2 linked regions of the Rattus norvegicus genome follow. The protein of the gene in region 2 binds, or shares a complex with, the protein of the main gene of each other region. Links are inferred from orthologs where the notes say so. Each region holds a gene or a part of one and is shown on either strand. Other genes may lie near its edges.

Region 1 (3,817 bases), on a different chromosome or scaffold from region 2:
AATATGGAAATTGAAACGAGGTTTAATTTTTACTTTGTTTTTTTTTTTTTTCCTCCAAGACAGGGCTTTACTTTGTACCCTTGGCTGTCCTGGAACTCACTCTATAGATCAGTCCGGACTTTAACTCACATAGATTTACCTGCCTCTGCCTCCCAAATGCTGGGATTAAAGGCATATGCTACCAATATCCAACAGGTTCTAGATTTTATACATTATTTTACAACATACACAAGTCAGATAGAAATATCTGAGTTACCTCTTGATACATATAGAAAGCATTGTCATTTGGTTGAGAATCTGATGTTTATTCCTTACATACACGTTGTTAGAAAGTGTTAAAATCACTGGGCATGGTGACTCCCACGTTTAATCTCAGCACTCAGGAGGCGGAGGCCAGCAGTCTGCATTGTTAGTTCCCACATCTATACAGCAAAGCACATGCCCCCCCCCCCCACACACACACACAAAGAAAAAAGCTAAAAACAGAAGTAAAAAGAAATGTCAGAACCATTGCTTTACCGTTACTTTCCTCTTCTAATATTTGAGGAAAATGTGCTGAAATGCTGGGTGTGTGGAGGAGACGGGGCTCGCTGTGCTCCCGGGTAGGACTATCACCATCATGGTGTTGTCTTATGCTCAGAACGCCAAGCTTTGACTCCTCCCTTGTTTGACATCTACTGCTCAAAGTGTGAGAAGATTACGCTTCTTCTCAAATCTCACTTTATAGTTCAGTACACTGTTTTCTTACTATAAATAATTATGTTAAATGAGAAATACCCCAAATTCTCTTATTCATATTGTTCTTAGAATTTCTTACTTAAGTCTGTCTATTTTTCTTAGTTTATTTTTCCTTTTTCCTCTTCACTTTCACTAATAGCTGACTTAAACTTTCATGGTGTTGGAAGCTTTGCTGACTTCTGTAGCCTCCATTACTGTGTAGGCAAGTAAGATTTTAAGAGAAAGAGTTCTGTACTAAGTCTGGCATGCTACCACTCTGAAAAAACATTGCATGCAAATGCACATCCTAACAGAAGCATGAGGTTGCTGTATTGAAATTAGTCTTGCATTTCTAAAATTAGACTCTACTTTTCTAAGTCTTGTCCTTTTCAACGTTAGTAAATTCTTCCTGAGCTAAGAACCCCTACAGGCCATCTAAGTCCACTGCTTACAACTGACCTTTGTGTTCATCCATTGTGATAGTGCCCTTATTCACAAGAACTTTAAAAACTACTTCAGAATATCTAAAGGATAAGCACGTTATCCCTTTTGTACTTTGTTAGAGGTGGACTGGGTCTCACCTTTATGCTGATATCCTAAGAAAGAAAAAGAAGATTACCATGACTTTTATTTATTTTTTTAGCTCAGAGAACATGTAGAGTTCAGAGGACAACATGAAGGAGTTGGTTGCTTCTGCCCACCATGTGGTCCTAGATTAACGGAGAGAGTCAGACTTGGCCAGAGGTGCCTTTACCAGCTGAGGCCACCCTTCCTCCCTCCCTCCCTCCTTCCTCCCTCCCTCCTTCCTCCCTCCTTCCTTCCTGTTTTAAAGAATGATTGAACCTAGAGTGAAAGAATTCTTTCTGTGAAAGAAAATCAAGGGGAAAATATTTGAGGCCTAGCCATTCTACAAAAAAAGATTTAGTGAAGGTGTCTGACCCTGTAGTCTGGAGATGTGCATGACGAGAACTGAGAATGTGTGTTCACAGACACTGGTTTTATTGTGCATTCGAAGCTATTCCTTGAGTGCTTTAGAGAGGAGTAGAAGCCTGACTGTTGATGTCCTCTTGTTGCTCCCCACAGCTGGATTTGCATATATACTCACTTTGTGTATTGTTTACTATCTCTTAAGCTTGACTTGATCATTAATTTTTCTCTGAAATACAGTCTAGAATTCTAACATGCTTTATTAAAAATTATGCATTTAACTTTCAAAAATATGCCTGAATTATTTTTTAAGCCGTGTCTTACTATTTAATACAATTCCTTATTTAACCTCTAGTTTATTTACCTAGGTTGGATTATCTCAAGATGCCCAGGATCAAATGAGAAAGATGCTTTGCCAGAAAGAGTCTAACTATATTCGTCTTAAAAGGGCTAAAATGGACAAGTCTATGTTTGTAAAGATAAAGACATTAGGAATAGGAGCATTTGGTGAAGTCTGTCTAGCAAGAAAAGTCGATACGAAAGCTTTGTATGCAACAAAAACTCTACGAAAGAAAGACGTTCTGCTCCGAAATCAGGTGGCTCATGTGAAAGCTGAGCGAGATATCCTAGCAGAAGCTGACAACGAGTGGGTGGTCCGCTTGTACTACTCATTCCAGGACAAGGACAACTTGTACTTTGTGATGGACTACATTCCTGGGGGTGATATGATGAGCCTGTTAATTAGAATGGGCATCTTTCCCGAAAACCTGGCACGATTCTACATAGCAGAACTTACCTGTGCAGTTGAAAGTGTTCATAAAATGGGTTTTATTCATAGAGACATTAAACCTGATAACATTTTGATTGACCGAGATGGACATATTAAATTGACTGACTTTGGCTTGTGCACTGGCTTCAGATGGACACATGACTCCAAGTACTACCAGAGTGGTAAGTGAGCTTGTAAGTTCCATTGAACTCACCATAGTGTAGTCCGTTTATGCAGCACGACTTACAATGGCTTCAACGCTGATGAGACCAGTAGACATATAGACTGGTTCTTACTTTCTTAATAAATCTGGATGAATCTCATGAGCATATACATTTATAAAGTTAAAAAGTACATAAAGTTTATTTCTAAATATTATTTAAAAATTTTAAGGGGCTGGAGAGATGGCTCAGTGGTTAAGAGCGCCGACTGCTCTTCCAGAGGTCCTGAGTTCAAATCCCAGCAACCACATGGTGGCTCACAACCATCTGTAATGGGATCTGGTATGTCTGAAGACAGCTACAGTGTACTCGTATACAGAAAATAAATAAATTTTAAAAAAAATTTAAGTAACTAATACAAAATTTTGTAACTTTTGAAATGTGCCAGTTTTTAAAATAATTTTTGAATAAAGTCTCCCCGGAGACATCCATTATTTAGAACGTTGTACCCCATTCTTTACTTTTCTTATTTTGCTGCTGCTATTTCCGAGCCCCTGCCTGCTAGACAAGCATTCTACTCCCGAGCTGCAGCCTTACCATGTGTATTTCTTATTTTGAAACAATATCTCAGTAGGTTGCCCAGACTACAGTTGAACTTATACCCAGTATAAGCTTCAACTTGGGTTCCTTCAGCCTCAGGTTTCTAATAATTGGGATCATAGGCCTGTGCAACTAGGCCTGGACACCATATTGTATAGCTTTATATATTATATTTCTCACCAATATATTACTTCTTTTTTTCTATTTTTGAAACTATAATCATTATGTATTTTTGTTTCTTTTTTTGTTTACTTGTTTTGTTTTTGAGGTTTCTCTATGAAAGTGTGTGTTTTCAGTGCTATTTAGAGCATATAACCTGTTTAACTGTCATATAACCTTTTAACCCAACACATACATACACATGATTCTATTTAGTCATATGACACTGAAGCAGAATGAAGATGTGAGACTTAGGTGAAGTAACTCATCCAAGGTCAGACAAAGTTAAGTGTAAGGGCTAGGCTTTGAACTTAGGTTTGTCTGATTACAGGGCCCATGTTATCTCTACCACACGGCCTCAAAGAACCTTTCAAGCGCTAATGGAAGTGTAAGTTGCTCTAACACTTGTTGAATACTTACTGTATCCTAGGTGCTTTACATAAATTTTAACTTAGTACTTATAGCATCCTCCAAGGTAAAAGTG
Region 2 (3,817 bases):
AGTTGCTTCTCCAGCAGGGTGACAGAGAGGAGCAGTGAGTCACCTTGACGTGGAAATTTATCATCCAGACCCCCCGGCAGAGTGAATGATCTCAGCCTCTTCATCTAGGAAAAGAGAACCCTTCCTTCCCGACTCCTTTCTGTCTAGTGAGCCACTTCGATTTCTCTTATTAGTTTGATCCAATTGCTGTAAGCAACAGCCCCAAACCTCTGTGGATAAGCTCTCTTGAAGTTTATTTCTTACCCATACAATATCTTAGGCGGCCTCCCTTGTTGTTGAAGAGGCCACAGCTTGCCCACCTCCCCTTTAAGGCCACAGAGACTGAGGAACACTTTCCTTGACCACTTCAGTCTGATACACACGGTTTCTGCTTATATCCCATTGGCCAGAGCTTGCTCACGTGCCTCAGCCAGATGTTAGGGAGCCCGGGAAAGTGATCTAGCTTTGATCCTGGGAACCCAGGAAGACACAACCAAGGGTAGGTGCCAGAAATACGATCATGAAGCCATTTTCTCATTCTCAATTAGGGATTCCTTTCTCTGCTTTTGATTTTTTTCGTTTTGTTTGTTTGTTCGTTTGTTTGTTTGTTTGTTTTCGGACCTCGTTAGCACCGCGCTCTAATTAGACGCCTGTTGTCTTCCACCCTCCATGTTCTGTAAGAGAAGCAATGAGTTCTGTCCCTCGCCGCTCTGTCCCTGGTGCTGGAAACAGCATCCAGTGTCACCTGGGTAAACATTAGTTGGTGAAAGGAAGGAGGGAGGGAAGGGAGGGGGTAGCAGCTGAAGCAGGAGAAGGAAAGAATGGTAGTTTGGTGGAATCCTAATTCTTCCACTAATTCCATAGTTTTGAGTAAACTATGTAACTAAGAGCCTCAAATTTTCTCATTTTGTAAAGCTGTTAAAATCATTCTCCCCAGGCACATATCAATACATCCTACATCGGTGCCATGTGTTCGGTTCCTAGCTTAGTCTCTAAGGTGTCGCAGGTGGCTGCACACTTACTATAGAATTTGTGTATAAAGAGCTTCTGCCTCTCCACAGCACTGTGGTACGTTTCTACCCAGTTCCTGTGCCTGCACCCTTGGCCTGGTGCCTTTAAGGGCCTGGGCCTTATTCTCTTTTCCGGAGATCGCAGGAGGAGCTGGAGCATTGCATCCCTTTGGAGCTGATTGTCTTACCTCCTCTCCCTCAGGTTGAAGTTAAACAGCAAGAGGAACCAGCTGGTGCGAGAACTGGAGGAAGCCACGCGGCAGGTGGCCGCCCTGCACTCTCAGTTGAAAAGGTGAGTGGTGGGCGGTGACCATCCCCGTGGGGAAGGCCCAGTTCCACACTGCCATTCGTACAAGTTCCATACAAGCCATTCCTCCGTGGCTTGAGGAAAGACATTTAGAAGCATAGAAGGTTGTCATTCTAGCTGATACAGGCTTGGCTAGGGTGGCCGGCCACAGGGTGCTTCATCCCGTGGGACTCTACAAACAGAGACAGCCCCTGGGAGATGCCCGTTGGGTCTGCCTTCTAGCCCACGTTTACAGCATGTAGTAGGTTTTTCCGTAAGCTCAGGCCTTGATGGTTGAAGTATATGACTGGAACTTCATAGTAGCATTAAAAGCACCCCGCCTCTCATCCCCAACAAAAGTGGTTTCTTCCTGTTTATACCAATAAATAACCTTTCGATGGTCATTTATGATGTTAGATCTCCTTTTAAGTTAAATATTTTATCATTTTTTTTAAAAAGTGAATTACATTCTAGTATGGTATTGGTATCCCATATCTTTAATCCCAGCACTTGGGAGGTAGAGGCAGGCTGCTCTCTGAGGCCAGCCTGGTCCACATAGCAAGTTCCAGGACAGCCAGAACTACACAGAGAGAGGCCCTATAACAAAAAAACAAAACAAAAAATTTTGGGAAAAAAAAAGTGACTAGAGCAGAGTGTGAAGGGGTGCACTTGTAATCCCAGCATTTAGCAGGTGGGAGGAGAATCGGGGAGACTGGAAGTTCAAGGCCAGCCTCAGGTCTGTATGTGCCCCCTACCCCCACCTCCAAAAAAAAGGAAAGAAAAAGAAAAAAATGGGAGTCGATTTCAAGAAAGGTACTAAGTGTGGCAGATGTCTTTAATCCCAGGGGCACTCAGGAGGCAGAGGCAGGCCTTATCTCTGTGAGTTCAAGACCATCCTGGTCTACATATCAAGTCTTAGGCCTGCCAGAGCGGCACAGTCAGATCCTATCTCAGTCAACCGATCCAAGGAAACAAGCAAAAGAAATGTTTTAATAAAGATGCAGTGTGGCCAATAAGAAACAAAGATAGAAGAGGAGAAAAGTGGGATCCGGGTGTGGGGTTTCCAGGTGTATGATCTCAGGACTCAGAGCATCAGGAGTTTAAGGCTAGCCTGAGCTACTAAGCAAGAGGCTCACGGGTACCTGCTCTGCTACTCTGGGCCCCCAGCTCTCTCTAGATCTCTATTTTCTCCTCAGTGAAACTGGGTGCATGGTCCAGCTTAGGCTGTCAAGTGGGCTGGGAAGATGATGTTCATGACTCCCAAGCCCGGTGGAGTCCCCAGTGTTCTCCTTACTCCATGTTACCTTTTCCCTTTCCCTGTCCCCAGCCTCTCCAGCAGTATGCAATCACTGTCTTCAGGCAGTAGCCCTGGGTCACTTACGTCCAGCCGGGGCTCCCTGGCTGCCTCTAGCCTGGACTCCTCCACCTCAGCCAGCTTCACTGACCTCTATTACGACCCGTTCGAGCAGCTGGACTCAGAGCTCCCGAGCAAAGTAGAACTGCTGTTCCTGGAGGGTGCCACAGGCTTCCGGCCCTCAGGCTGCATCACCACCATCCACGAGGATGAGGTGGCCAAGACTCAGAAGGCAGAGGGAGGCAGCCGCCTGCAGGCCCTGCGCTCCCTATCCGGCACTCCAAGATCCATGACCTCCCTGTCTCCACGCTCATCTCTCTCCTCCCCGTCCCCTCCCTGTTCCCCTCTCATCGCTGACCCCCTCCTGGCTGGAGATGCCTTTCTGACCCCTCTGGAGTTTGAAGACACAGAGCTGAGCCCCACTCTTTGTGAGCTGAGCCTCGGCACCGATGGCGCCCGGGAAAGATTCCGGCTGGAGGAACCAGGACCCGAGGGCAAACCACTGGGCCAGGGTAAGGAGCACAGTGCCCTTATGGGGAACCAGAAAGCGGGGGATTCCTGCCGTAGTTCCTGACTGTGGATGGCTGGGTCTTTATGGGGTTGGTAGATCCTGACAAAGGTAGAATGTGCTAGGTCCCTGGGCTAGGGTTTTGTTTTGTGGTGGATTTCACTCAACAGATATTTAGCGCCTACTAAAATGAATCCAGATCCTGGCTGGGCTAATTGAGTATGAATGGATTAATTCATCTAAGCTCTCCGTTGATATGGCAAATGTAGCCGCTGGAGGGGTCAGTGTTGACAACAGACAAGGGCCGCCCCCTCCCCCGCTGCCGCAAAGCTTGGGTTCAGCGGGAGGGAGCCACGGGGGCGTTAGAAATGTACCAGGCAAAGGCATGGGAAGGGGATAACAGCGATGTGTGGTGGAGCCTTTCGGTGGAGTTGAGGCAGCCAGGTCAGAATGGATTGAGGCTTAAATGATGAGGGGGAGGGGGGGAGGGGGAAGGGCGGTGAGAGTAAGAGGGTGTAGCAGCAATTCAACTATGACCCCGGCATTTAGGGGGAAGAGGCGTAAAGACCAGGAGTGCAAAGTCATTCTCCACTATATAGCCGGTTTGGTCTGGAAACTTGGAGATCTTTTCTCAAAATACGGGGGAAAAAAAAAAAAAAAGAAAAAGAATCCATGGGCAG

What was found.
Region 1: the proteins of Wwc1 (region 2) and Lats1 are in contact, whole or in part, in a crystal structure (PDB 6J68), measured with the Mus musculus proteins. The link is inferred for Rattus norvegicus from reciprocal best matches to the Homo sapiens genes WWC1 and LATS1. Residues at the interface, in NP_740749.1 of Mus musculus: Asp17, Tyr23, Ile25, Asp26, His27, Arg30, Thr31, Thr32, Ser33, Trp34, Asp64, Val67, Tyr70, Ile72, Asp73, His74, Lys77, Thr78, Thr79, Gln80, Ile81; in NP_034820.1 of Mus musculus: Ala546, Glu547, Ala548, Pro549, Ser550, Tyr551, Gly553, Pro554, Pro555, Pro556, Pro557, Tyr558, Leu562, Leu563.

What each region holds. Positions count from the first base shown.
Region 1 is NC_086019.1:4,001,128-4,004,944, forward strand, and holds part of Lats1 (serine/threonine-protein kinase LATS1), read left to right. Parts: intron 1-877; coding exon of another isoform or gene 878-886; exon of another isoform or gene 887-940; intron 941-2,012; coding exon 2,013-2,595; intron 2,596-3,817. UniProt on the Homo sapiens protein: Negative regulator of YAP1 in the Hippo signaling pathway that plays a pivotal role in organ size control and tumor suppression by restricting proliferation and promoting apoptosis.
Region 2 is NC_086028.1:20,839,740-20,843,556, reverse strand, and holds part of Wwc1 (protein KIBRA), read left to right. Parts: intron 1-1,191; coding exon 1,192-1,281; intron 1,282-2,602; coding exon 2,603-3,141; intron 3,142-3,817. UniProt on the Homo sapiens protein: Regulator of the Hippo signaling pathway, also known as the Salvador-Warts-Hippo (SWH) pathway.